2 linked regions of the Mytilus edulis genome follow. The protein of the gene in region 1 purifies or fractionates together with the protein of each later gene. This does not show direct contact. Links are inferred from orthologs where the notes say so. Each region holds a gene or a part of one and is shown on either strand. Other genes may lie near its edges. The genes, in order: RILP-like protein 1 and ras-related protein Rab-10-like.

The links.
Region 2: the proteins of RILP-like protein 1 (region 1) and ras-related protein Rab-10-like purify together in Homo sapiens (co-immunoprecipitation; 3 studies listed by BioGRID and IntAct, with this or other methods). This does not show direct contact. The link is inferred for Mytilus edulis from reciprocal best matches to the Homo sapiens genes RILPL1 and RAB10.

The regions. Positions count from the first base shown.
Region 1 is NC_092349.1:38,123,010-38,139,414, forward strand, and holds the start of RILP-like protein 1, read right to left. Parts: upstream 7,833-16,405; 5' UTR 7,775-7,832; coding exon 7,472-7,774; intron 6,239-7,471; coding exon 6,088-6,238; intron 728-6,087; coding exon 609-727; intron 1-608. UniProt on the Homo sapiens protein: Plays a role in the regulation of cell shape and polarity. Plays a role in cellular protein transport, including protein transport away from primary cilia.
Region 2 is NC_092344.1:102,931,252-102,947,164, reverse strand, and holds the start of ras-related protein Rab-10-like, read right to left. Parts: upstream 7,978-15,913; 5' UTR 7,718-7,977; coding exon 7,591-7,717; intron 4,398-7,590; coding exon 4,337-4,397; intron 2,934-4,336; coding exon 2,795-2,933; intron 2,495-2,794; coding exon 2,405-2,494; intron 1,629-2,404; coding exon 1,527-1,628; intron 392-1,526; coding exon 311-391; 3' UTR 1-310. UniProt on the Homo sapiens protein: The small GTPases Rab are key regulators of intracellular membrane trafficking, from the formation of transport vesicles to their fusion with membranes.

The sequences.
Region 1 (16,405 bases):
AGATTCACAGTTAGTGAGTTATGATAAGTATCAGTTTTTGATTGAATGGTCACAAAAATCCCTTTACTAGCAACTAATGCAATGCAAGCACTCAATTTGTGACAATCAAATTGACAATTTATGTCTTAGAATCTTAGATAAAATTACCCCTTTTTTAAAGACTTATATTTTATCAAAAAAGATTTTATTATTGTGTTGTGACTGTGACTTTGTCTACAGTTCTGCGATTAAGCAATATATTGTAAATATTGTTCCCCATATTTTGACGTTGTTAGATAGGGACGTGAGAGCAGAGAGATGTTGACGAATAAACAGAATAGCTGGAATGGTTAGAACTGTCATAGTGTATGCAGTGTGTTTTGTATTTTAAGTAAACTTTGTGACATCTGTATGATACATGTAGTGAAATATTAATAAATCGTGTTACTTTCTACAAAGATTGTGTTCATTGATGAATGCTCAGAATTCTACATAATATTTACAACAATATAATCTATCATATTAAGACATCAAGATAAATTGTTACATTTATTTACCATACTCTAGCTATTGACAACAAGAATTTCACAAAAGGAATACAATTTCAAATTATTGAGAGATATTCTTACTGCTTCACAATCTATACTTTTCTGACTCAGGTCTCTTTTCTGTTTCCTTAGATCATCTCTCTGCTTGTCAACAGTATCTTTTAATTTCATCAGAACTTCAATTTCTTTTTCCTCAGTTTCTGAAAGTACAGCCAGCATTTTTTATTTTTTTCATCATATTTATTCAATATTTTCATGATATCGAATTAAATTTTAATTAACTCTTAATGATCTTTATCTTATTTGTCTGGCTATCTGCAAATTAATAGCAAATAAAAAGTAAACAACATTTCAAACGTCTTCCCAACCTTGTTATTTGATAATTACATTTTAAAGAATAATTGCCTTAATTGACACTTTTTTCCTTTTTAATTTAATAAAATATTTTATAAAAAACCTGCTCGATTTATACATGTTATATGTTGACATTGAACATGTTAAGCCTGTTGTCCAATTTCAAAAAAAAAAACCTGATGATTTTTTCCAACATGCATTAAGTAATGATAGAGAAAAATGCTTACAAGAATTGCAAAGATTATACTTGTTACTGTAATGTTTATTCAATATTCTTTTGAAATATATATACTATTTCCCATCTTGAGAACTTTGTAGAAATGATTTAATATTTGAGGGGGGGCGAGACCATTTTCAGGACGCCGGGATTGGCCGATTTTAGCAACGGGAAATTGGGATTGCCTTGTTTAAAGATCGGGAATTCGGGATAGAAAAACATCGGGATACGGGAAACCCACATTTTTAGCCATGGGAAATCGGGATTTTTATGTTGAAATATAACGGGATTGACAAAAAACTGTACCTTGGACAGATAAAAGTACCATTTTCATTATACTTCAATCAGAATCGCATCTAGAAACAGATTAGATCCAGATCTTATTGTTATTTTCTGCTCACTTTTTGAAGTAACCGTAGCCAGTGCCATATTTCAGTGGGATTTCCAGTGACACTAGAACAATAGAAAAATCACTCTTCTTATGAAAGAGATAGTGCTCAAGTGCTCCACGAAACCTCTTTCTAAATTATTAACATCTATTTTATCAGCAATCAAAGACGGGCTTCAAAGTTATTGTGAAACTGCCTATTCTAGAGGGGGCGTGAATCAGATGTGGATACTTAAAAATTCCAAAGATCTTTTAGAGTACATACAATCTAACTCTCTTTCATCTTGTAACAGTATTAAAACATTTGACTTTTCTACTCTGTATACTAGTATTCCACATTCCAAACTAAAAGACAAATTGAAAGAGTTGGTATTGCTTTGCTTAGTAAAAAAAGAATGGCCAACGTAGATACAAGTATCTTGTCTTAGGGAGGGATAAATCCTACTTTGTAAAGGATCACTCTGATTCGAACAAAAAAATCTCTGAAACTGATATTATCAAGATGCCTGATTTCTTGATTGACAACATATTTGTTACGTTCGGAGGACGTGTTTTTCAACAGACTGTCGGCATTCCAATGGGAACAAACTGTGCCCCTCTACTTGCCGACTTGTTTCTTTATTATTATGAGGCTGACTTCATGCAGGAACTTCTTAGGAAGAAAGATAAGAAGTTAGCACTATCCTTTAACTCTACTTTTCGCTATATAGATGATGTTCTTTCACTAAATAATTCAAAATTTGGTGACTATGTGGAACGCATCTATCCAATCGAGCTAGAGATAAAGGATACTACAGATACAGTTACGTCGGCCTCATATCTTGACTTACATCTAGAAATTGACAATGAGGGTCGGTTGAAAACAAAACTTTACGACAAAAGAGATGATTTCAGCTTTAATATCCACTGTACGCGAATTCAATTCAAAATATTTTATTGTTCAAATATCAAATGTACATTTAAACAAAGGGATTGGACAAAAGGCAGTGCCTATACAAATCCTTTCCCATACAAGATGGATTGAATAACATGCATGATACAGTAGTATATAATTTTCTGATAATTTAATAGATCATAATACGTTGTTGCAGTGATTCAGGGGAGGCAATTCCCCCACTTCTTGAAGTATTTTATTGTGTATACATATATAAATAACTATGTTAACAAAGTCAAAGCAAGACCTACTGAAGGTAGTGTCAAATTTTATACCACATCAATAAGTGTTGGTTAGGAATCAAGTAGATCATTAAGTTATTTTTTACTCAAATTCACAAACTCACTGCAACAAAGTTGTTCTATTTATATGAATAACAAGAATTGATTGGCCCTTTTTTGCAATACATAAGTAATTTAGTGTACCATCTTATTACAAGACTATTAATTTCTTGATTTTTGAAAATATAATTACTAATACAAAAAATAAAATAAAATATGTATAAATTTATTTGCAAAAAGATGCTAAACACAATTGGTTGTTTTTTTTTGTGTTAAAAGTTAGGTTTGTCTTTAATTAAAGAGTGGTACACTGTGGTTATAAGCTGATTTCTAAGCAGTATAGTAGCACATGAAATATTATAAAAATCTTCCAGTTTCATGAATATATTGTTGTACATATGTAAATAGCTCAGTGTTTTCATCAATATTTAAGTCTGAGCAACCCTGTAGTAGGACATCAAGATTGACATTATTAAAGTTACTTATTTGTCGAAAGAGCTCATATCTCTGATAAATGTAAAATGGACAAACATAAAAGAAATGAAAATTATCTTCTACTGGATCTCCACAGGCACATATAGAGCTGTCCGACAAATGATCACAGAAGAGATGATCTTTTAGATCACTAGCCTCATTTCTTAATTGGCAGTGGATTATAGATCTATTAACTTTACGTGAACCAGTGGAAAAGAAAACAGGACAAGGACTTATGTCCTCATTCAGTTTTCTTTTAAATCCTGTAAAGCTTAAAATATTTTTAACTTCTCCATCAAGTGAATTCCACTTTTCAAGAGTATGTGGAATAAAACTGTTCTTATAGGCCATGTAGGCTGTGGTTCGACACTGAGGAGTTTTAAATTTCCTTTTTTTTCTCAGTCCATACTTGTCATAAGTGTTTGTATACGACAAGATATCAGCAGCAATATAATTAGGAATATCTCCAGAAATAGTTTTATGAAGAAACAATAATTTGTTTTTCTGACGTCTATTCTGAAGGGAATCCCAACCTAATTCCTTTTATAATTTCCATCTAGGAGTTCCCTTTCGAAGCCCAGTTACAATTCTGGCAGCAGCTTGTTGTACACTCAATTAGATCTGATTCTTCTTGTGTGCAGTTATCCCAAATTATGTTCCCATATTCTAAAATAGGCCTTATAAATGCAATGTAAAGTCTTTCCAGAGACTGTCCATCAATCTTATGTTTTAAATATCTCATAATATTAAGACGTTTACAAGCTTTTGAATAAATATCCTGTAAGTGACTAGACCATTTGGCATTAGATGATAAGGTTATACCAAGATGTTTATGTTCTGAGACATTTTCTAGAGGTGCATCATTCATGCATAGTGATGTGACATCAATATTACTTTTTCTCGTAAAGTACATATAGATTTGGTTTTGTCTGCATTGAAGGTTACAACACCCCATTCTCCTGCCCATTGACCTAATGATTCTAGATCTTGCCCCAGGGATTCAGCTGCTGATCTCTCATCATGTACAACACAATATAGACAAGAAGTCATCTGCAAACAGTTTTATTTTGTTTGTAACCACATCTACTATGTCATTCACAAACAATAAAAACAGAAAAGGGCCAAAGATGGACCCTTGAGGGACTCCTGCCTGGACAGTATTCCAGTTAGAAAAAAACCCATTTACTCCAACCCTTTGTTGTCTATCAGAAAGATAACTTTTGAACCAGTTAAGCAAATTACCCTTTATTCCATATTTTCTTAACTTATATAGAAGTCCCATGTGCCATACACGATCAAATGCCTTTGACACATCACAAAAAATAAATCTGTACGCGAATGAAATGCTCACCAAAATTCATGATAAAATTATGTATAAGCTCCTTGGTATTAGTGTCGCTCTGATTTAGAGTATCAGTATACCCAAAGAGTGTGGTAAAGGTTTTTTTCGTGCAACGTGTTTTGGCTTTTTTAATTTACAACTTTCCGTGAAAAAAATTTGTGCTTCACTGTGAAATTGGTAAAAACGGCAACGTGCAAGCATTTTTTTTATTTTTCGTTCATCGTGAAATTGGAATTTTATTTCGCGTTTATCCCTGAACATAACGCCTCTTTACAACCCTTCCCAAAAGTTAGACTTGATTTGGATATTTTCAATAAGAGTAAGATCATGTAAGACCTAAAAGAAAACACATGTGTTTCCGGTACCCCTATATATATATCTACCCTATTTTTAAGTACCTATAATCTAACTCTACTCTTAAAAGGTTTTTTTATGTTATGTGGACATGGTGGACAAGCACTTGTAGAGTCAATATTTTTCTCCCATATGAACCAGTCAAAAACGTTTGAAAAAAACAAACTATTTTTGCTAGCAAAATCACTTCTTTAAGTATCATTATTCTAATAACCCTCACTAACACCCCCGAACAGTGAAATTTTTATCGCGAACAGTAGAATTTTATTACATAATCTGAAAGTTGAAACCTTGAACTTTACAGGAAAAATACTCCCACTGCTGGGGAAAATCTGTTAAGAAAGTATCAGTTCATTAAGTTAGGCCATTATTATAGCATTTTATCCACCCAAATAGAATTTGCAGCTAAATTATTGCACCAAAGGCATAAACCTTTCTACTTGAAAGAAGCAAAAAGTTCATTTTTTTCAATTTTACTAATGAAAAGATATTATGCTATGTGTTTAAAATTTTAGTATAACTACAAAATCACAATTTATAACAAAATTTCTAATTTGCTACTTAAATAAGTGATTTAAAAATCACTCATTTAAGTAAGTCCCCTGACTGTTTCTACCTAACTTAATTTTTTAGGGGATGTTACCTTAAACACATGTATTTTTCTTGGCCTTACTACACATATAATTTCACAGACACAGTCTTCTTTATAATCGAATATCATATACAAATATTTTATGGCATTCTGCAGCAGCAATTTTGAAGAAAACAAATACCCCAACTTGACGTGTTTAAAATGTATACGTACTAAATATATTGGTCAAAATCATCGGCACAAATTGAAAGCAAATATTTAAGATTAACATTACTCAGAGGGTTTAATTTTCAAAGTTTACCAGGACGGCCTCCTTTAAAAGTTGTGTCAGATGTGTCTACTAGTATTCGTTACCTAAAATAGTGGAGGACCTCTTTATTAATTAAATGGTGATTTCTTGTTTATCGGGATTGGGATTTTTACCAAAATATGTCCGGGATTTCGGGATTTTGTGACAAAAAAAAACCGGGAAATCGGGATGAGACCCCCTCTAGCCCCCCCTCATATTTCTCATGTAGGTTTGGTCATTTCTGAAGGAGAATAATAGGGAAAAATTTTGTCAATGCATTCGTCCTACAAATTCTGTCCCTGGTCACCATGGTTACATATCAAACATTTACTAACGTTTAGTTACAGCAGCTACTTCCTCCTTTACAGCTACAGTCTGGTTTTGTAGATGTTCTTTTAACCTTCTGTTGTCAATTTCTAATCTATTAATAGAATTATATAGGTCTTTTGTCTCTCTGTGCCAGTTTTCTTCTATCTGTTCAAGCTCCTAATAATAGCAATATCCATGATATTAATAATACAAGTTTTGAGGTAATCATCAGAAAGTCAATAACAGACAATATTATCAAACAACACAGCTGAAGGTCTGTAACATGGTGTCATATTAGGTCATAACACATTACATTTTGAGTCAAGTTAATCACTTAATAATCTTTCTTTTTCAAATTAAGACATGTTTAAAACACTTAGATACAATTTTTAACTAAAAGTGCTTAATTTTTTCACATTTCCATCAAAAGTTCTATTATTCTAAAATTACAAAGTATATGTACATACACATGTATTTTTGTACTGGTGTTTACAACTTTTAGTTAAATTCAGCTTAGAATCTGAAATTAACTATGATGTATTCATGGAACCACACATATGCCAGCAGCATTCGTACATTTGACATGATCATGATAGATCAATATCAACGAGAAAGCATCATGGTTCAGGATTATCATTTCTGTGTAAATCTGGTTTTTTTCTAATTTAGTGTCATTTTCCACACATATAATCTGAGTTCTATACTTTTTACCCATTATTCTCTTTTCTGGAGACCAACAGGAATATAATAAAAATCCTATCTTTAACTTACATGTATTATAATAAATCTGCTTTATGGCTCTTAATCTTTTACTGTGAATTTTAATTTGTATCTTCCTCAATTGTTTTGGTTTGATTATCATGATTATAATTTTTATGCTTTTGTGACATTTAAATAATGTGGTTTTATTTTGATGGTCATGTCCTGAATTTAAGCTCTTATTTTTACTTGCTATAATTCTCAATAGCCTCCATGATGATTAGAAGTCTGTTGAAGAAACTTAAGACTTATAACATGTAAAAGCTTCATATTATATATATGTAGCTCATGCTGTTTCGTTAATGTTATTTTATTGTGCTGACATGTACAGATAATTTTTTCACGTTATTTAGTATTTACACAAAATTAATTAAATTCATCAATAGAATTGCTCTGTTTGCTTTAAAGTTTTGAATTAATCACTGTAAAGATATTGATCAATACACTGCATATTATAATTATTGATTCCTACAACAAATACTGGCATTAGAATTGTACTAAACAGTCTCAAATAAGTGCAATTAACAAAGAACATACTTTCATCTTACTGTCCTAATTTTTTGATTAACAAATAATATGAAAAATAAGAAATATGCAAAAGAAAAGACATAAAACATTGTCATTGTACAAGTTTTAAGAACAAACATTAACCTCTTCATATTTCATTCTTTCTTGTGCCTTTTCGTTTTTTTCAGATTCCAATTTTTGAATTGTTGTCCTGAGTTCCGTTATCTCTGTATTCTCACGTTCATATCTAGCTGCTAATGATTCTAAATTTTCTAATGCTTTGATCACTTTTGGCATCAAATCTGTTACTGCTTCGACACCGAATGTTTCTATCATTCTTTCGAATTCTTTGCCAATTGACGCGGCTTGGTCGTATACGTCAACGACTGAAATGGCATCATCAGCCTCTTCTGCCATTACTTCTCTATCAGATCTAAATGTATCCATGGTAGATATTTGATTTTAGTCATGTTTTCCCAAATATACTTTGACCATCTTCCTTATCAGGGGAATATAAGTAAGGGGGAGGGAAACCAATGCTAATATGCTGGGAAGATCTTATTCGAAGCTGTTGGGACTTTACCATACCAAACGGCTAAATAACAGAGAAAGTCGAAAAATAAATCGTATCTTGCCATTGGTTTAAAAAAAAATACGTCAAAATGACAATAAGTTACAACATGAATATTGATATATTTGAACTCGATTATTCTAAATTTAAAAGGTCATTACACAGTTTGATAACTAACTAACGCGTATTAATTACACCCATGCGCTTGTTCAACTCATGATATATATGATTATAAAATGGTAATTAACTAAAAGAAAAATAAATTCCCCCCAATTTATTTGTTTCTGTAGTGCAAATATTTTTGTACATTATTAACGAATCTGAGGGGGAGTACCCTTCTCCCTTCTCCCATCCCTCTTCTCCTTTCTCCTACCCCCGTTCTCCTTTCTCTCATTAGAATAAAACATCTCCTTTTGAGATATTTTTTCTTGAAATATTTATAGATCATTTTTTAAAAGGAGAGATATTTTATTTTTTCTCCATTCTCCAACTTTTTCTACTTTCTCCCAGCCTTAAATTCCTCTCCTTTCTCCTACCCCCTTTCTCCCTGTCCCCCCCCCCCCCCCCTCGAATCTAGTGACAGGTAATTCGCATTCTACCTGCAGGTCGTTGCAGTATAAACTATTTGAACTGTCCGGGTTACTCTTGTGTCAGTGATGATTATTTAATTTTTATCGTCTTAATTTGTCAGACTTTTCTTATTCTAATATATGAATGCATAATTATCTATTTTATATTACAAAAGCGGCTTGTAAGTATATATGTGCTTATGACAGAACCACAGACAACAGAGTATTTCATTCCAGTTTCTGATTTTTCTACATTTTTTGGACCACACTGTACATGCTGTATTTGTCAATGTGACTCATATAAGATGTACATAGACTTTCTATTTTCTTTTCATCTTATCATTAATATATATTATGATCTAAAGAGTTCATCATAGAAAAAAAATCGTAAGGGTCTCGCCTACTTTTGTTGTAAAATTTTTAAGTACCAAATGTAGCAGGCTCAACAAAAAATGGTGAAAACATTTTTTTCTTTAGATACTATATATATCTTTGGGTTCGGTTCAATCGAGTTAAAATCAATATTGGATTATAAATCTAATCAATGGTTTTTTTTTAAACTGGATGTAATTGGCAGAAAAAGTAGGTCCATTTATAAGTAAAGTGCGGATAAACCGATTTAAAAAAAAATTAATTCTGGATAGTAATGATCTTCACATCATAAACAAGCTTCCTTCAAAGTTTGGTAGAAACCGAGGGCAGTTTAAAAAAGTTATTAAAATTCCAAAAACTTTCACCAAAGAGTGAACTTTTATGGACACCACACCACCGACGAAGGAATGTAGGATAGCTGTCTCGCTTTTGCTACAAAAGTCACAAGCTATACAAAAAGAAGATGTGGAATGGTTGCCAATGAGACAACTCTCCACAAGAGAACAAATGGCACAGAAATTAACAACTATAGGTCAACGACGTCCGTATGGCCTTCAACAATGAGCAAAACAATTACTACATTTTCTATATATATATAACCCCAAAATGACAAATCTAAAACTATTAAAACGAAAAAACTTACTTAAAAATATTTATCAAATAATAAACGAAAAACAAATGTGAAACAGAGAAACCAACGGAAACCATTGAATTGCAGGGTCCTGACTTGGGGGGGGGGGAAGCATACAGAATGAGGGATTATAACCTCAGGCGCCTGGGCTATAGTATTCCAATTTAAGAACAAACCATAATAAACAGCTGCGCCATGAGCATATGATACGCCCTTCGTATTGTGTGTGAATATTATGCAATAATCATAAAGTTTCTGACATATGGTGCGACATGTGAACCCCCTCCTTTTTTACCCTTATTACTCTAAAATAAAATTGTAAATCTTCACCAAAAATTATACAGATCTTAACATAAATATAACTAAAAAGTGTGGTAAGTTTTAAGCAATAACCAACCAGATGCTCCGCAGGGCGCAGCTTTATACGACTGCAGAGGTTGAACCCTGAAGGCTTGGGGCAAGTATGGACACAACATTCAAGCTGGATTCAGCTTTGAATTTGGATTGTGATTAGATAGTTGACACAGCATAGGTTTCTGACACAGAATGAATGTGGTCTAATGAACTTAATTTTTTTTTTGCTTTTTGAGCAATTCACTTTGCTGTTGAATATTATCCTCTCAAAAACAAAATGTTTGAAGAAATTTTCTTTTTATTTCTGAAATCTGAAAAATTGAACCCCCCCCCCTTTTTTTCATCTCCCCCTTTCCCTTATTCTAAAAATGATCTCAATTCAAATTTCTAATGGAGTTTGCAACAATAACTACTCATTTAAAATAAAATGTCATGGTTAATATTAATTTTAATTAATAGTAACTTCTAAAAAATAAATGGGGAATGTGTCCAAAGGGACACAGATGATGCCCTCACTAGCTAGCATATAATGTTAAAAAGGGACATAACTCAAGAACTGTGAAACTTTTAACACTCAAAGGCTAAGTCTAAAACTCAAACACAGACTGTATGTTGTTAAACTGAATTCCCCACTTTACTTTATTTCCTGTCATTCTTTATTATTTTTGTGTTCCAAGAATTGCAGAATACAAACCCTGAAAACAACCATCTATCTACTTTTTAATGGAATATATGTCTCTAATGGCATATTGTGAGCAAGTACACTACCAAGGTTGTGATGCACATCTTTGATGATAAACATGAGTTACCCTTCTCAGGGGAAATAAGCGATGTCTTCCAGATAATAATGATAAAATAGTAAGAAACCTGGACAGCTTCATATAGGAACTTTTGAAAGCAGAGAAAACTGTGTACCTTATATACAAATACACAAAATCAATATTTAGGTACATGTACCTGTATTTACAGTACTTGATTTGTACCTTTGCAAAAGTAGCTTTGTAAATGAAAATTAACCAAAATTCAATATCCTATTGAGTTCTCATGTTGACCTTTATTGCCTTTGATGGTATTTTGAATTCTCTGTTGTCCAAAAATAGTACCTATTGTGAATATGACTGTAATTGACTGTTGTTTTAGTTTCAGTGTGTTGGCTGCAGGTTTAAGAGGAATCATTGATAGTTGTTTATCTTGTTTGAATATTTTTACACTTTTAAATCTTTGTGTCTTTTATAGATTGCTACACAATGACAAACACAACTGTGACCTGTCCTTTCTAACGTTTACTTTGGTCTCTAGTGGAGATTTGTCTCATTGGCGATCATACCACATCTCCCTTTTTTATATTGATACAGTTCCAAGAAAAAATACAGCTATCATTCTATTAAACATACAAATATTCTGAGAAAGGCAATTCAGTACTTTTGGATATATGGTATGTTAATTCGAGACAATTTTATTCAACTTGAACTTTCACATCTATAGACAGTTGATTTTTATGTTAGCCAGTCTGCTTTATTTAAATGGTTGACAATATTTCATTTATCCAGTTCATATCCTTGTGAAATTAAAATATTCTGAGCATACATGTTGTAACATGACATAGTCACACATACCATATAGTTCTTATATTTGGGATATAATATGTGACTGTGAATACTAATATATGTGTTAGTATTTTCATGATTACATGTCTTATAAACACTTGACTTGGTTAAAAGATTTCTTGGATTCTAGCATTCCTTATTTTATATGCAATTTCATGATCTGCCGTGTCTTCTGTGCAGCTACATCTTGTTTCCTGGTATTTTAGAAATAATTGCATGCAGCCACAAAAGTTCAGCCCTGGTATTGTTCTTTTTTTTCTATTTTTTGATGCCCTTGTTAAAACAGTTTTAAAATTTTCAATATCTTTTTTGGTACAATTTGTAGCTCGACATTTTTACCTGAAAAAGAGAAGAGTCATATAGATATCGGATAATATAAATCAAGAATTTAAAACAATTGCATGTTATTATATAATATAAATATCATTTGTATCCAGAAATAGTCATCAGAGGGGTCCCATTCCAGTCATGCTTCAGTAATTCCCTATATAGGGGGGTCTCATTATTGGGGGGGGTTCTGATCCCGGATTCCGCTTACCGTTTTGTCAGATTCCCGTATCCTGCTTACACTATGTATGTAAGCAATTCTCATTTTTTTGTTATTTTCCTGGGTCCCGCTAGACCTCATTTCCCATTTTCCAGACACAATAATTTGACTTTCACATGTTACGCTTACAAAAAATCGGCAATCCCGCGTCACATTCAGACTCCAATGAGACCCACTATATAATCAACCCACAAAAAAGGGGTGGGGTGGGGGTTGGCCACTGCCCCCTTAATCTGCCTCTGAAGATAAAGATTTTTTGTGTTACTGATGATTCATTTTAATATCAATTGCATATCCAACAGAGGAAAACAGTCCAATAAAATTATTTTTTTCTATAAATATGATATTGTAAGATGAGCAATATACTACATGTATTAACAAATTAACTTTTACATTTGCCTTGCTTTATACACAAATAACAAAAATTGTTACTTTAACTGAAATATAGAACTCTAATAAATGTTTTAACATTCACTGATAAGCTGATATATCATTTTTTTAATAATTATATTATATATATATATACAATGTACTTACCGGTACACCTTAAATTCAAAACAGTCACTGTATGTTCATATATCTCTTTCTTTCCATTTCACATACCTCTGCATAATGTACAGCATCTGCAACACTCAAAATCTACAGGTTTGAAGAAAAAAAATTGGAATGTTTTTAGTTCAATAATATCAAAAATGTCAAAACAGCCAAAATAATGAATACATGTATTCATGGTATTAGAGATGTGCCATTTTGCACATATGCATGTTACCCAAGGGAAAACTCCTTTCAACGCAGATACATCATGTACATTATTTATTGTTTTAAATTATTGCATGCCATAGAAAATAGGGATAATGGGATGCAATTGTCCGTTATTTACAAAAAGGCCTCACCCTGACTAACCTTTACATTCCAAGAATCCTCCTGGTGAGTTACTAAAGTTGAATGCACATTAGAAATTTAGAAGATGTATTTGAATTGGCCCATATTTACATTTGTTGTAACCAATAATTTCATGAATTTGATTTATAAACTTGTCATACAAAGGAAATTATTGCTACATGTTAGAAGGTATGCAATTATGCTCTATCTATCAAGCATACATTGTACATGTACAAAAAAATGTACATGTATATAGAATGGTCAAATATTACAAAATGTACAGTACAAAGGAAAGGCTGGACTTTCTCGGAAATTTCCATGGTTAGCCAAAATGTACATAATCCTTAAAGAGCTCTAATTAAAAGCATGAATGTTCCTTGCTATTAATATTTATATATATATGCAACCAAACTGTAAATAAAGATTTCTTTACTAACTTTACTTACAATATATTAGGTCTATTTCAATTGATTCTTATAGTTTGTTATGGTGTTGTATTGTTGCACCACTGTCCCAGGTTAGGGGACGGTAGGTATCCAGCTAACATGTTTAACCCCGCCACATTCTGTATGTATGTGCATGTCTCAAATCAGGAGAATAGCAATTCAGTGGTTGTCGCTTGTTGATGACATGTTTAATACATATTTATTATTTTTGGTGGTTTTTTTTCGTACAAATAAGTAAGTTTTCTCGCTTGAATTGTTATATATTTGTCATTTCTGGGCCTTTTATAGCTGACTGCACTATAGGCTGTACATTGACCTATAGAAATGTTAATTTCTGTGTCATTTGGTCTCTTGTGCCACAAGTTGTGGAGAGTTGTCCCATTGGCAATCATACCACACCTTTGGGTGCCTTTATAAATTGAGAAAAAATGCTTACCATGTGCAATACAACAATTTACAACTGACCTGACAATTAACAATGACTGAGAGTACAAACAATGAAACATGGTACATTTTTGTAAAAAAAAAACATTACATGACCATGATGACTATATCAAGCAATATAAATTATGTAAAATTTAGGATGTTTTTCACTTACATTCTGCCAACACTTAAATAGGAACTATTTCAAGGATTCGGCATGACTGTGTGGTAAATAATTTATGACGTGGTATTTGATTAGCATATCAATAGAACAACAACAATGTCAACATGCAACTGCAAACTCGTTATTTTGATTTTTGATTTAATTTTTGTTTTCCAATATCGAGCAGTAGAACTTTAAACACCATGTGTACGGTATATTATGTAAAAAAAAATAGAATAGTTTAACTGTCCATGTCATTTTCTTGAAAAAAGTTGAAATCGCAAGTGCCTTGCGATTTCCTTTCAATAATTTTCAATAGCACAACTTTTTGATCGTCTGATTTAGATAGTTCTTTCTGTGCGATTATTATTGTCATATAGATAGATCGCAAGCTCATGTTCTCAAAATATTATGTGGCTGACTTACTTGTCATTCTGATATGTACGATCCGCTAAATCAACCTTTTGGTAAACAGAAAAAAATATTTCCGAGCATCAAGATGGCGTTTGCATTGAGGTAACGAGTTGTTTCCCCTTCCTGTCCTTATCGAGCACCTGACCCATCCCATTAGCGAGTGTTTTATGACGTTGTTGATTAATTCATTTATTAAAACGCCTTCGTGACCTTACATATTGATAAATAAACATTGATGCGGGATAGAAAAATAAATAAAAATGATACCTTATATTTTTTTATTTATAAATCACTTCGTCTTCCATTGTAAGATTAATAAGTATGCTTATTATTTTTTCAACGAAACAAGGTTTATATATTATTTTCATTGTTAATTTACTGCAGAAAAATATAACTTATAACCAAAATTCTACTATTTAATAACGGATCACAACCCCCTTAAAACCTAAATCGGAAAAGTAGTACACCAACCAAGACTGAGAACATGAATTTACATTGATAACAAAAGTTGAGATGTTAATGTTTCTGACAATAAATCGATAAAAATAGACTGGAAATCAGAAATTAGTTTTTTTTCTTCATTTTATGAGTGTATTTATTACGGCATACACATGATCAAATGCCAAACAAACCGTGAGTCTCAGTCGAATACGTGACATGTCATGCACTACAAAAGATGTTCATTAAAACAGGATAATCATATCAGTAAACCAAACAAATCATTACTCTTTTTTTTCCTTGGTATCTTCGACCTCTTTTCTGTTTGTTCAATAAAAACGCTCACGGTAAAGTTTTTTTCACAATCTACTATACAACTTGGAGATTACGTCCAAATTCAGACATGGGATATTATCTATATTCATTTATGAGGATAAAAAAGAAAGCCCTCGAGAAATTTTGCTGTAGGTGTTTATACTGAGATATTCAACAAAATTTCCTGTTAACATAACTTGAACACGACATCATCGTGAAGACATTTGTACAGACTTAAAGCTAGGTTCTCTTTTTCCAAGGGAATACCGAGTTATAAATAAAAGTTACAAACTACATTTATAAATTAAGGAACCTTTGTGAGCACGCTCACATACCCCACTCTCACATTGTCACTGGACAAACAAAATTCTACCAGATTCCTAAGTTCAAAGACTCATAACTCTACAAAAGTCAACTGATAAGAATTTTCTTGTGGATATGTACATTAACATATTATGTCCTCTATGTATTGGTCAAAATCTTTTTGTGCATACTTAAATGACTAACTGATTTAATTTTGTAATTTTGTAAATATTACATGTATTTTACAGTTGATAACTTAATAATAACTTATTCCTAAAGTGGTACAATAAACAATTTTAAACAGGGTAAAAAGTAAAAGATTAAATCCATAATCTCCAATTTATATGTTTTTTTTATTACTCAAGCAGGAATTTGACAGGTCAGTAAAGCTTACCTATCAAGGACCAAACTAATAAACTATACAAAGTTTATATAATTCTGTTGTTGTGGTTTCAGAAGAGTTGCTATGACAAACTATTGAAGTAGTATATTTAAGGCAAATTCAACGTTCAAACGGGCATAACTCCTAGAAAAAAATCAATAGTACTCACGGTCCTGTCGATATACACTTCTAGCATGTCCTTATTATATACATATAGTTTCATGAAATTCTGGTGTGTGGTGCAGTAGTCATGATAATTATTCTAAATTTATAAGTTCAAAGGAGCGTATATATCTACTAGAAAAAAAATCCACCTTAATTTCCTGTCAATATGGACATCTACATAGTATGTCCTTATCAACTTCAACGTTTCACGAAATTCTGTTGTGTGGTTTCAGAGGAGTTGCGATGACAAATTGTTGTAGCAGTATATTTTAGCCAAATATCTAAAAAGTTCATATGGTATAACTCCTAGAAAAAAAATAATTGAATCCTAATTTCCTGCCGATATGCACATCTACATAGTATATCCTTATTATCTACAAAGTTTCATGAAATTCTGTTGTGCGGTTTCAGAAGAGTTGCGATGACAAGAACAGGTCTGACGGAATGACGGACGGACGGAGTATAATTATGATGTTTGTCTTATTTTTCAGGCTTT
Region 2 (15,913 bases), on another chromosome or scaffold:
AAAGATTATTGATTTAGTTACATTGTGAAAGAAATACTTAATGTAAAGAAATTGTATGAATCTTTCAAAATAGATATGATAGTTTATATAAATACAATTTTCACAAAGCCTCTCATTGCTTATCTGTCATATTAATCAAAAGTTTTAAAAGAAAACAAGCAATACAACTGCTTTAAGAAACATTTAACCAGATCATTTCTGTCACCATGGTAATGACAAAACATTCAAATGATAAATGTAAGAACTGTTCTCTGATGGAATAAAGAAGGTACCAGTATAAACTGATTCCCTGTTAGAACACTGTTGGTTATTACGAACAACAGCCACCTGATGATGTCTTTTTTGTAGTCATATCTACTCCTTGTCTTGGTTCCATTTCTCTACCAGGTGTCTATAAAAAATTCAATAAATGATATAAATTAAAAATTGATTGTTAATGCTGGTGATTAAGAAGTTACATGTTGTGTATTTTATAAGACATTTTATCATATTTGGATTCCTCATCTTGTCAATTTCTATAAATATCATTGTAGAAATAACACCTCATATTTGATTTTTTTAGGGTAGCCAAATTCACTGAGTAATAAGTTCATAACACTATAGGGAGATAACTCTGTAAAAATCACCTAAACGTTTCAATCACATTGTATTGTTAAAGAAATATTAAGCTTTTCAATGATCAAAAGGAGTAAGTTCGGTAAGGGCCATATTTGGCCCCAATTATAAAGTTCATAGTTACAAGCCAATAAAGGTTTTAAGTTGCCTAAAATACATGTGAGAAAGTTAAACAGAACTGTTTTTGTCAAAGTTTAAGTCTAAGACGTTGATTTTTACATCCCAAAAAGGTCAAGATAAGGGATTTTGGTGAAATTTGACAAAATGAGCGTGTTTTCAACCAAATTAAGGGGTCAGGAAACATAGAGCGCAGGCGTCGACAAACTTAATATTCAAATAAGACATGTGAAATGTCTTCACAAACATTATTTTAAAAGATCTTTGTTGTCGACGTATGCGCTCTATGTTTCCTGTCCAATAATCTATTGAAATTTACCTATTTTCATTGATTTGTTCGTGAAAAATCAATATGAGTGCAACTTGTGACGTCATAATGTAAAGTAGAAACGTAAAGTTTTCAACAAAATAGCTCATTTCCTATCTAGTCACTATATTAGCTTTAATTTATTGTGACATTGGTCAATAAATCAGAATTTGAAATTTACGCTAAAAAAGGGGGCCATTTTAGGACCTTACTGAACATACTCCTTTGTGTTTGTCAAACTTTTTTTATTTTTATATTTTTGTCAAAGTGTCAAAGTAAATATTTTGTCAAAATTTCATGAAAATTTAAAAAGAAAATTTAATTTTAGTGAAGAAGTTGGGTACCACCCAAGCAATTTTTTCTGGTTCTATATTTACATTTTTTACCCCTTAAAATTCATGTGGAAAGACAGTTATATTATTGACACATGAATTTAAACTTTCTCTTCAAAATACTCCTCCTAACTAAGCTATTGAACAATCCATACCTTGTTCAGAATTGCTTGTGCTAGGTCCATAAAAGCTTTTTCTACATTAACATTAGCTTTTGCACTAGTTTCTAAGAATGGTACACCATGTTCTTTTGAAATCTAAAAATAAACATCAGGAATTAAAAATATATCGCTCTTCTCTAAAACACAATGAAGACTTATTTAAGTACACAAAATAGTAAATTCAATTTTCTAGGTTTGCTAGACTACAATATTTCTTCTGATATACTTATTATGAAAACTCCATCAAACTTGCACTAATTCTGCAACTGTCCGTGTACTGTTGTGTGAGCATCACACTTTAACATGTTAAAGTAAAGAAATGTGTGTTTTCATTTGTGTTTTTAAATAATAAATTTATTTTAACTACTACTCTTGCATGAAATAATACTCATTGTCTGATATTTTTAAAAGACTAATAAAAAAGAAAGAAAACTTCATTTTATACTTGCTTCTTTCAGCCAGCAATATAATAATAATATAGACATTTTTAATTTTAAAAGATCCATTCCTTTACATCATTTTACATTAATATTGATCATCATTTTACATTAATATTGATCATTTCATATCCACTTATCTTCAACATTTTATAAATCTGTGTTAAATATTTATATCTTAATATATCCTTATGACTTAATTGATCATTCAAGTATTACTATATTTTTTATAATGTGTATCGAATACTGTAGTATGTAATTTCACATGTTTCATGAAAAATTAACTAATTACAAAAAAAATCTGTGTTAAAGTCAAACCAAAGAAGCTTCCTTGTTTCATCTATTTGAATTTTTTCAATTGTGTCATTCATTTTATGTGATAAATTGAGATAAATAAGAACCAGTGCGTTTCAGTTTAATACATGTACTACTTACAGCGTCTCCTCTATCTTTCGACACTTGTCTCTTACTATCCATGTCACATTTATTTCCCAAAATCATTTTTTCTACGTCTTCATTTGCATGCTGTAAAATAAGAATTTAAGTTAATAACATGACAAGTCAATATTTCTATTGTATGAACACATATGCTGTAAATTATTGAGCTAAATCAAGATATTGTATCTCCATAATATCTTGACAGATTTTTAAGATTAATTATTAGTCTTTGCATTTACTTATAGCAATATAACAAACTGTTTAAATTTATAATATAGCAGTGAATGATTGCATTTATTTATTTAAAAAAGGAATAATTTCAAAGTTTTCACACAGAACCGTGAGAATTTTTCCATAATTGATAATAACAATAATACTTCCTCTTACCTCATCAATATTTCGTAACCATTTAGTAATATTTTCAAATGTTTTATGATTTGTTATGTCATAGACTAGCATTATTCCCATTGCTCCTCTGTAGTAGGATGTGGTAATTGTGTGAAATCGTTCCTGACCAGCTGTGTCCCTAAAAATAAAGATTGTATATACATTATTTAGTATTAACCATAACAAACAACATATCATATGGTACTTTTTAGCAAGTAAATACAATAGTATATATAATTAACTTTTTTAATTTAAACTAACATTATATGTAGGAAACAAAATTTTACATTCACATTAGATATATGTGCTTTGATTTTTAATTACAGCACACATATTATCATCCATACTAGGCTAAAGGCTAAGGTTAAAAACAAAATTCTTTGTGTAATATGTCAAACATTTAACTTCGTTTAAAAGGAAAAACTGACTGGGGACAAGTAAGACAATAAACTATTAGGGGCTCATTACAGTCAAAGGTCAAGGTCACGATCAATATTGATAGGTTTCCATATTTTCTTTTTTATGTTTTTTTTTTAAAGTTAAATTTAAACTGTCATCAAACTTTTCAGTATAGCGCATTATAATACTTAATTCATTTATCTTCTAAATTCATCAAAAATGATATTTTAAGAATAAATCTTTTCAAATTGAAAAATTGTTTCTTCCTGGTTAAAATTTTGTGAGCATAAATTGAATGTATTTGGTATATACAATGTATGCTCATGTGGGATGGGTCAGTAGAATCAATGGAAATACAAAGTATTTCAATTGGTACGTGTATGTGTAACTGCAGAGCCTGAAATATACAATCTACTCAATCATTTGACAGTTTGTATACTATTTTCACATGTAGAATATTAGACTGTGATCTTAAGTTGACCTATATTAATATAAAACCAACTGTTAAAACTTCCTTTCCCTAAGTGCTATTCATCCTTCAAGTTTTGTAATAATATACATATATTTATATGTATAAATATTTGAACAAGGTATATTGCTAACATGCAAATGTACACTTTCAGAAATAACAGTTGGTATCAATTATACATTGTAACAAGTTTTATAAAAGTATGTAAATCTTGTTTTACATACATGAAAATGCAAGTCAACAAATCACAAAATACAAACACTTTAAAACATCTTTTCTGAACAGTGCACACATTTCTGTCAACCAGATCATTCCACAGTGCTGAAGGGTCAGCATGCATGCATAAAAGAGGTTATAAGCCTTTTCTCAAATTAGAACTTTTTTCAGACATGTAACATGCTCTTGATGGCTTGATACATGTACTTCCTGATTTTGGAGAGCACTTAAGACATACTTATTTCACCTCAAAATGTGGAGATGAGAAAATATCCCATTACCATTACTGTTTCATAATTCTGTTTAGCATCAACACTGATAAGAGATCAATTCCTGTAACTTTTTTGTACCACAGACAGATTTGTGTAATTAAAAAAATAAATTGATTAATCTATAAAGGCTATTTATTGTAATAATCACTGCCCTTTTTAATAATATAAGTATACAATTTAACTTACCATATTTGTAATTTAATTTTCTTGCCTCCTAATTCTACAGTTTTAATTTTAAAATCTATACCTGCAAAACAATAAGAAAGTAATTTAGGTTATAATTATTTTTTCTGTTTCAAAATGTATTTCAGAGTTCACAGTAGTTTGGATTTACATGTAGCTTCAAATTCAAACCATTGTATTGAAATTATCTTTTATTTAGCTCATGCATATGCATGGTATAACAAAGATGTATTCAATTTGAGAAAGTATTAACAATCAAAGAGCAGATTGCTCTGAGGGATACGATTGCCATTGTTTCATTGACACATGTATGCATGTAGCTGGATAATATTATTTTCAAAACTAATTCAAATGACAAACAGACATGTAAAATAGTTACAAAATAGCCAAACCCGGATAAAAGTGTATGAACAATGTAATTACATGTAGGTCTATTGTGTTTTATTTTTGTACTATCAATACCAAGTTTACTTTCCACAGCAGTCACTGACTGACTCGGAGTGAGAGATGTCAGAGAAGGTATTTTATTTCACTCATTGGTTATTATATTTTATTAAGTGTCTGTTAGTGTCATTGATGAGTCTTTATGTAGACGAAACGCGTGTCTGGCGTACTAAATTATAATCCTGGTACCTTTGATAACTATTAGCGATGCACCGACGTATAGTCATCAATGTGCTGATGAATCGTAGTATGATGTAGATTTCAATTTGTATCTTATCACCTTTTTCCTACGTTAATTCTAGGAGGAACCCCATTCCTAACTCTTTAAATATTTAATTTCCTTTGGGTCAGTCATCATGGCTCCTTTCCGTACACATTTATCGGTTTAAATTGCATTCGTTTTTAATATAATACGATGTTTATTGAAAGAACAAGCTAATACTCGACATCTTGTTTATATTCAGAATTCACGGAAGTTACTGCCGGAAGGGAGACAACTCGAAACAACAATATGGAAGACTCCATTTCGCCTGAAGGGGTGTTCTACGATGTGGAATATATTTATTTTAATCTAAATGATGCACATGATTTAAAATTATGCAACAATAACCCTCAATAGCAGACATACATAGAAAAGATCCAATGAGTTATAAATTAATTAATTGAGTGGGGAATCCAGAGCAACCATTCAATCTAAAACCCCTTAAAGTCAAGAAAACTATACGCATGCACATAATTTCCAAATCAAACCCTGTGGCAAGATATATTCCAAATGCTTATTAAACGACCTAGATGGTTCTCAGTTTCTTTATGGAAGTACAATCTCAAATATCAGTTTCATAACGGTAACATATAAGAAAAACTCCACTTCAGTTCTTATATGAAAGAAATAGATTTATCGGTATTCAGAGAACTCTCGCATTTTATCAAAACTGGGAATTCCCTGTGACGTGTTTCTAAATTTATAACTACACTAAATATAAATACTGCTTAATTCTGATTTTCCATGTTGTTAAAAACACGCATCGAAGTCAAGGGAATTATCAAACATGAAGATTATGAAAAGAACATTATAGGAAAGTTGATTAAGTTCAATCCCTTTGTTTGTTTTTACCTTTTAAAGCAAGACAATCATAAGAATCTAAGATGTTCCTTAATGTTTAGAATAAAATGATTGACGTGAGGGAAATTGCTCTGAGCCACCGGTATAAGTCTACAGATTGCTTGAAAGCAATCGTATCCCAAAAACAACAATAATACTTTATTTTAAGAGGGTTACACAGTTAGCTATATAACTAATCTATCCTGAGGCCCTCATCATGAAAAATCAAACAAAATGCAAACATATGCATTGCATACATTAGTATAAAAAGTCAAGCATGATAATAATGTTCAATACAACTTGATAAAATGTGATGAAAAAATAGACATGATGACATAATCAGTTTTAAATATTATTTATACAGCTAGGTTGATTTCAATAAATGATCTGTTATTTGTATTTGAAAGAATGAACATTTTACTGTAAAGCCTCGGTCACACCTTAACGGATGGTTGGAACGCATGCCAAACGGATAACTTTTTTTCAATCCGTTCATATTCGTTGCATGTAGGTTTAGCGTACTTTTTAATTGTCGACGTTAAGTTTTGTCCATTGGAAAATTTGGAGCATGTTCAAAACTATGAACAGATGACCGGTGTCCATTTTCTACGGTACTCGTCCGTTTTGTTTCTGTTACATGAATACATGTTCGTTATACATCCGTTGGAGGTCTGGCAGATAAATTCACCAATGGACTTCTAATGGACGTCTAACGGATAAAACGAATGTTGAACAAATGTGAAACAGATTTCTACCGGACGTATAACGGATAAAACAGATGATGAACGAATCTGAAACGGAAAAATGCCAATAAAAAAATTCGCGACAGAAATGCCAATTAGATTTTTTATAGTTCATGAATTATTATTATTCATAATCGATCTTAGAGTAAGGGCACGTCTTCACAATCATGCAGCTCTTATTCAGGCCAGATACTGCCCTTCGGCGGCATTTTGAAGAACAAACCAAAACCAGTCACACAGAAACATTTTGAATATTTATGCAATTTACATGTATTATAATTGTCGCCTTTATTTTTTCCATAGATCTATATCTTGTTCATTAGTTTTATCCTGTAGGTTTCCGTTATGTGTCCGTTTTATGGGGTACCCATCCATTGGATGTACGTTGGACATCCGTTCTGTCCGTTACGTTTCCATTTCTCGTAAGTTGCATATCCGGTGTGTGTCCGTTATGAATTTGTTACACGTCCGTTTATTCGGTCAGTACATCAATGGACTCCCAACAGATAACAATTTTGTCAACAGACAACTCTTATTTTCATCCATTAGGCGTTCGTTCAGGCTATCCGGTAAGGTGTGACCGAGGCTTAATATTTCTTATTTTTTATATATACATTTTAAAATAGAAGAAGAAGACGCTTTATTTCTATAAAATGGGCTCAAAAGGAGCATAATATAATATCATAATATTATTTTTTTACAAATATAAACAATACAGTACCGCAAAAAATACTGGATGTAAAACATTTGAGTTATTACGACAAAGTCATTGTTATCTCCCCATAAGCTGTAAAAGACACCCCTGAAACTGGTTATCATGACCTTGACACTATTGATATAGTGTGTGGCTAGTAAAATACCAACTGGTCAATAAAATTCATGTTCATTGTATCAGTGTATGAGTCATCATCACCTCATCAGTTCAATCACTAGGTATCAAATCAAGTGTTTTAAACATCAACACTCACCTATTGTTGATATAAATGTTGTATTAAAAGCATCGTCTGAAAATCTAAATAGTAAACAAGTTTTCCCAACTCCAGAATCACCAATTAAAAGTAACTTAAACAATAAATCATATGTCTTTTTCGCCATAACTTGAAGAAGTGTTTTTGGTTTGATAAAATGGCGGTCTGATTTTCCTTTTTTATTTTTTCTGACGATCAATTCCTGTTTTTAACTGTCAAGATTCTGACTGTGGTTCAACATGTTAAAGTTCTTGTATATAAACAATGAGACTGTCTATTTTAGGACAATGATTAACAATCAACTGATCGACCGATCAAACAGTAAATTTTCCGTCTGGTCACGTCACTTCCTACTGGGTCATTATCAAGGGAGATAACTTCCGAGACAAATCGTAAGAGCTCCGAACCTTTCCGAAGATCTGCGATTATTCCTCGGTAGAATCCGCTACTCTATAGAAGAGGGTACGGAATCGGCCGAGTTGAGACGAATGGTCTGAACTATAGAAACAGACTCTCAAAATAGACTTCAGGTTATGTATACTCATATATAATATTATATAATTTAATAAAAAGGACTGATTGGTGCTAACTGGTAAACTCCAAAAATTATATCGGTTATGATTTTAAATCATTGTTTATTAATATCATGGAGTGGGGTTCTCATTTTCGCCATAATTTTTTTGATAATAATCAAGTCAAAGAATTTTTTTGAGATTGCCCCATGTTTTTCATTCAGAAAAAGTTTGCCAGAAATCGTTACAGCATCAGCTGTAAATGTTTATTGTAATATAAACATCAAGCAATAAGTTTGTGACAATTACAAAATAATCGGCTTAGTTTTAGAATAAAGCGCAAATGTCATTTCGTGTAACATTGGTAAAAAGGCGCCCCCTAAACGTCACCTTTTCTTTATTATACAGACAAACCTTTAACATTAAAGCTGATTTCTAAATTATTCCAAAATTTGTTTCCCAGTTCCCTATTTAACTCACAATCTAATAAGAAGAATCTTCCAAAAATCCTTCTTTTTTATTATTATTTCTTAACCTCTACGTCCAATGCGGCTGCCGTTGTGTTTATTTACATCTAGTGAATTGTATTATACTATGTCTCTGGTTTCATGTTGGTCTTTACAAACTTCTTCAATAAACTTCAAGATAATATTGCAACAGACATATTTTTCACTCTGGATTTATAGAAAGCAAATTTTATAATTGATTAAGAATACTTCTGTTTTAGAAAAAGTTGTGCACAGCGTATCATGCGTATTAGAACCTTTACATAGTCGAAAATTATTATAAAGGTAGCAAACTGATCTTCAAAGGAGAGTTGCTTATACAATTGAAGAGCTTTCGGTATATACTGCAGAAAAAGGAAATAAAAATGATAAAAATATGTCAGCATATCATATATAAATGGTTAAAACTTGTGACGAAATGAGGAACACATATTGTCAGCAGCATCATTTAACGCTTCACGCTTTATAAAGATACTTTCAACACATATTCAAAGTTTGGTGCGGTCTATGTTGAACTCAGTTATCCCATCGAACTTCAAATAAAGGATACAGTGGATGATAAATTTAAGTATGACTTATATCTTGAATTACATCTGGAAATTAATTATGAGAGTCGACTGAGAACAAAACTTTGTGACAAAAGAGATGATTTCAGCTTCCCACTTGTGGACTTTCCTTTTCTTTATATATACCACCATTTCAGCAGCGCCTGCATAATGAGTACATATCTCATATGATGTTCCAGGGCTTGTATTTCCTATCATGATTTCAATGATAGTTAGTGTCTGCTCAAAAGGTAGTCATAAAACCAAGAGTTCCAAGTGGTCATTCCTTCAAATATTTTACGGACTCTTTAACGAGTAAGTTGACTATTTTGGTGTCTCAGTTTCAAAGATGACGACTATGATACGTTCCAATTCTAACAACCCCGTTTATTTATCAACGAATGTGACATCCGAATTATACTTACCATCGGGGTTGTACTTGCATGCATGAGCAACACGATGGGTGCCACATGTGGATCAGGATCTTATTACCTTTCCTTGGCACCTGACATCACTCCCGGTGTTTGCTCAGCCTTAAGCTTTCTTTCTATGTTGTGTTTTGTATTGTGTTGTTTGTCTTTTTGTCATGGTTTTGCCAGTTTATTTTCGATTAACGAGTTTGAATGTCCCTTTGGTATCTTTTACGGGGCGCCGAATGGGACTCGTGTGGTTTTGTACTCGAAATTCAATTTCATACGGACAAAAGTGAATTTTGTTCAACGAAAATGAGTTCAGTTTATCAAAATTTGTAGCATACTACAAATTTAAAATTTTGTCATACAAAATTATCTTTCAGTGGACAAAAGTTACTTTTGTAATGACAAAATTCATTTTTGGAAACACAGACTTTACTTTTGTTACCTTATTTGAAAATTGGGCGACAAAAGTCAATTTTAGTTTGGATTCTGTGAACTAATTTGCATATAAAACTGGTATTTTGTCACAAAATTCAATTTTGTGTTTATTTTGTGTAGACAAAATTGAGTTTTGTTAATTGAATTTTGTCTACACAAAAATAAACACAAAAATTGAATTTTGTCTACACAAAAATAAACATAAAAATTGAATTTTGTAATGACAAAATTCAATTTTGTGTTTATTTTTGTGTTGACAAAATTGACTTTTGTGACACAAAATTCATTTTTGAAGACAAAGTTCATTATTGTCATGACAAAATTCAGTTATGTGTTTATTTTTGTGTAGACAAAATTGAGTTTTGTTAAACAGAAGTGAAAATTTAACACAAAAGTAAATTTTGTGTTTCAAAATTCATTTTTGTTACAAAAGTCAATTTTGTATGCAAATCAGTTTATATTTGCATACCTATTTGACAAAATTGAATTTTGTCTACAAAAATTAATTTTGTCATCACCAAATTCAAGTTCTCACATAGTTTTGTAAGACAAAAATGATATTGTTATGACAGAATTGAATTTTGTACAAAACCACAAGAGTACCATTCGGCGACCCGTATCTTTCACCTCTCTATTTATCAATTCATGAGACAAACCAGAGATTACTATAAAACGGGAAAACATATTTTGTTGGTAGGCAAAGGAACTTTGTGTTTCAACTGAATGTTAAGTCTTTTTTGTATATTTGTCTATTTATCTTTCTAATGTCCCATAATTTTCCGTACATTTTTTTTTCAAGTTACTAAGTCATGCATAGTATTTTGACTTACAATGTAGTTGAGTCGTATGCAATGTAATATTGATTTGCAATGTATGTGTAGTCTTATATGACTCAGCTCAGCGGTCTTACAACACATAAAAAAACAACCTCAAAAGTACCAGAGGGACATTCAAGCTCATAAGTCGAAATTAAACTGCCACCCGTCATGCTGATTCTAAATCTGGGTTCAGTGAAAAGAACATTGAAAATTAAATAGATTTTGAAGAAAAAAAACTGCCAACTGAGTCCCACAGTGTCCACTACCAATAATAAATGACCTGAAAGACCACGCTGACTAAATTTTGAAAGGAAACACAGGAAGGGTGTCGTGTTGTATAATTACTTTTAGCAGATTAAGAAATTAGTAAACAATGATTTTCAATTTGTTTTCGTTGTATAACATTGTTAACGTTTTAAACGTTGGCATACACATTTCTTTAATTTCTAGAAATGTGCAGTTTCTTTTACAAATGATCCGTATACTGAAACATCAATGAACATAAAAATGTTGGTGATTAGGTCAGTTTCGCACTGTTAATATAGGCCATTAAACATGGCCCATACAATGTTTGTTCTTTTAGGGTACCATTTCACTTCAAAGGGGAGGGGTTGGGTTATGTTTCTGATCCCCGATTTGATGAATAAAAAATATTATGGTCAAGCAGATGACAAAAAAAATATTCTGAGTGCAGAATTTCCCTTTACTTTAGTGATTTGCACGCAGTGGCGTAGCTTGCATGTATGCTCAGATGCTCAAGCATCCACATCATTTTGGCAAAAAAAAGTTTTTTTAATAAATATATGATTGCATGTGTTCACAGCAGATACAAAGGTGAGGATTTGAAAATGTCTTTCAATCATTTACGAAGCAGTATGAGTGGTCTTTCCTATAGGATCATTTAGTGTATGTAAACAAGATGGATAAATCGCAAAAAAGGTGTTCTCTACTTTTTCGTGAAAAGTCTACGTCGTAGCTTGTCGTCGGCTGCGACAAACATTGAGGGTGGTTATAACAAATCCGCATGTTTAGTTTGAAATTGAGCAAGTTGACAACTAAACCATCATATCCTGATAACGTTTTCTATCATGCGAAAGACAACGTGATAAAAACCGTATTTGTATAATGGAGTGTTATCATTTCTTTGCTAATAAATACCTTCTCCATCTAGTTACAAATATTTTAATTTTATTTTTAAGAAAAGAGTTCCTATGTCCCAGCATTACTCTTATTTTATTTATCGAAGATACAAAATATCTGGAGAGAAATAACAGCTTCAGAACAAATGCAATTGGATTTCAGTCATAATTTATATTTCCAATGGGTTCAAAAAAGATGATCAGGACTTATTTTCGCAATTGTCAACTGAGACATTGCTGATGATACAAGTTTCACAAAAAGCTGGCAGGAATTGTATGCATGACAGTGCTAACAAGACCAGACGGAAGCAGGCCGCCCGGTATTTCCATGTCCACTGCAACACTTTAAGACAATTTATAAAAAAAACCATTGTGAGGCTTATATTCCGAGAAAGAGGATCACTGCGATTCCTATATTTCGAAGTTCCATGAACAGAGGTGCCGCTGTACTTGTTATATTTTTGTGATGTCAAGTGTGAAACTTTAACATTAAATATTTTTGAATTGATTGAAGGTACTTTCGAGAAAACAATAAAATTCTGTTGGAAAATGAATATATATTGGTTGGTATTTTGAAATTAAACAAAAATCTAACTAGTGTCGGTTTCTAGGGGAATACTCATGCATAAATGGGAAAATTAAAAAAAAAAAAAAAAATTCTGCATAATATGGTCCCAAAATTTTTTCGCCTCGCTCCGCTCGCCGACAATTTCGCATCCACATCGTTTCAACACTGGCTACGCCACTGGCACGAGATAAAAAAAAAACTCTAAAAACGGTGGCCACCTTTTAAAGTGAAGTGGTTGCTCCCTTACTAGAACCATCTAGGCTCTTATTTAGCCTAGACTTATTACCTTATAAAGATAAAATAACGTTATGTAGGTTTAGAACTGGAAATCATCGGATGCCTAAGAAACCGGCAGATGGCGTTGAATTATTAGACAGGAAAGGTACTATGTACTTTGTAACTCTCAAGAGATAGGTGATGAATATCACTATATTCTAAACTGTACAGCTCTAATAGAAAGTAGAAGAGATCAGAAGAGGTTTTCTTAAAACTGACTATGTAAGCCGAGTAAATGTTTTGAAATTCGGCGCTTTACTTATTTCAAAAAATATTCGTGTATTCAAAAATTGGTGTAAATTAATTAGAATTATCAATATAGAAGTATGTTCTCCAGGTTGACCACCAATCTCTCATCGGCTTGTTGCTCGTTTTGTGCAAATTTGTCATGCGCAAAATCTGTATGTTATAATATGTAAAAATATCTTTCTTTGTACTATTAACTTGGTTTTATAAGAAATAAAGAATCTGAATCTGAATCTATTGTATTGACAGTGATAGTTTCCGAAGTTTTTATCAATTAAATGTCATCTATATAAGAAGCAATTATATAAGCACTGGCTACATGACGCCTGGACTTCACTGCATAAACAATCAGTTTACCATTTACACAAAACTAACCACCAGAGCTCTATGTGCTTTGGTTTTATTAAAATCAATATTCACAAACCTGAAATAAGAAGTAAATAAAAAAAAGGTATGTGACTTTTCCAACAAAAGCCAGACACTATCACAAACATAGAATAATCAACCATTATTAGGATAATGAGGAATCCGTGAAATATGAGATTACAATTATATCTGAATTGCCTCCATTATAGTGGGGACTAAGACAGTGGCATTATCTTCAGTTATGTCTTCATAATCAAAAGAAAATGAAAATTGTTCATACCTTTACATGGTAGAGAGGTTGTTTGAATAATTGTTAGTAGTTTGCTTGTCATTTGATTATGGCTTAGAGTGGGGTGCTCATTTTCGCCATATCTTTCCATGTTTTCCACAGTTTATGTTCAGGTCTATATGTTTTTGAAGTAAACTGATATTTCTACACGAAGATAACTTCAAATGCAAAATATTCTTAAGCTTGAAAACGTGTTTGTTTGAAAATAATCGTCTGAAAAGTTAGATTAAAGGGTGTTTGAAATTGCCTGATGTTTTGTCAATGGGGGACACATATTCGCCGTTTTTATACATCTATTTAAACCCAAATAACTGCAGCTTTAAACAATATTTTTCAAATCAATTTCATTATAGATGGCAATAGCAGACATTTTAAAGGTGTACAGAACTGAAATTTAGGGCAATCAGTCAAATATTTACTAAGAAATACTAATTTGAAAGTTATTTATTCAGAAAATTGGCCGAAAATCGTTATCCGTTTTTCGGTCCTTTGACTTACCGCAATTTTGTCGTAGTTTAAAATAAAATCATATTTGTTATAAAAATCTTAGTTACCGGCATATTTCTTCCATTTCAGCCATCTTTTGAAGTATTTACAACCCAAAATTATAAAACGGCGAAATTGTGTCCCCGGCGAATATGCGCACCCCACTCTAAGTACATTCCGAATTTTCTATTTTTATTCTGTTGAAGTAGCTCATCAACCCTTCTGTCTATCATGGTCTTCACAACTGACTCGGAGTTCATAAAAGTACTCAACATCGTCAAAGCCAGTGATTTGATATATTACAGTGCGGCAATTGGTGAGTAACAGATGTGTACTCGTCAATTTTGTTTTCTGCAAAAAAAAACCTTCATGTAAAAATGTTTCCAACAAAGGGCTCATACACTAGAATATGTGTTTCTCTAGACAAACAGACAAAGAAATGTGATAAATCCCGCCTGTTCCATCTAGAAGAAGAACCAGTGTCTTCAATTTCTAAAACTACCATTTAGAACGAAAGTTTACAAAAGGAAAAACTGCATGACAGATCCGGTGTCTGAAGAATTCCATGTGATCGTCAAGAACATTTATACTTTCCCCATTTTAGTGCAGTCCTTGAAATTGGAGGATCACAATGCCCTAGACTGAACAAAAATAAGGATAAATCTAAATAAAAAAAGGGATGAAAGATACCAAAGGAACATTCAAACTTGCAACTTGAAAACAAACTGACAACGGCATGCGAGCCAAAAAAGGAAACGAATAACATACAGATAAAAGAACACAAAATACAAAACACAAAACTAAAGACTGAGTTACACGAACCCAACCAATACTGGGGTTGATCTGAGGTGATCTTGAAGGGTAACATGATCCTGCTCAGGATGTGGCACCCGTCGTTTTGCTGGTGTTAGTACAAACTCGGTAATAAGTCTCTTTCAGTGGGTCAGATTCCAGAAAAGATTGTAGTAATGTTATTAGGAACAGATCCACAATCATCTGGGAAACAGATATTCCGTTACGATCAACCAACCCGTGATGGGGTGCTTAAAGTTTAAGAAGGAATTTCAACTCTTTGGTTAAAAGCGTCCTTGTAAACAGCAAAGTTAAATGCTACTGTTTACTTCTTTAGAAGGTCTATATGAAGTCAGTCTCAACTGAATAAAGGAACAAGTCAGCAAGAAGAGGGGCACAGTTGTTTCCCATGGGAATGGAGTTTGTCTTTTTCTTTTTTAGTAATGGCATTGTCAGTTTATTTTCGATCTGTGAGTTTGACTGTCTCTCTGGTATCTTTCGCCCCTTAAGGAGGCTTGCAGGTATAAAAATTTCAGAATTTTAAATTTTTTTGTTTGTTTTCATAACAAATTTTATTTTTTACTTTATTAGTTGTTACTTTATCATAAAAGCTTCCTTGTAAACAGCAACCCTCTGTCAAAGAAATAATTATAGGAATAACAAACCCTGTAGTATCGTATCAGCTGGGAGATATACTCCGTATTCATGCGCTGCTGGAATGTTGCCCATAAAAATGGAAAGTTCACAATAGGGAGCTGAAATCATCTCTTTTTTTTTATAAAGTTTGTTTTTCAACCAAACCTCATTATCAATTTTGAGATTTTAGTCAAGATATGAGGCAGACTTAACTGTATCGCATTCTGTTTTATCTTCTATCTCAAGTTCAATGGGATATATATGAGTTCATCATACTCACCAAATTTGGA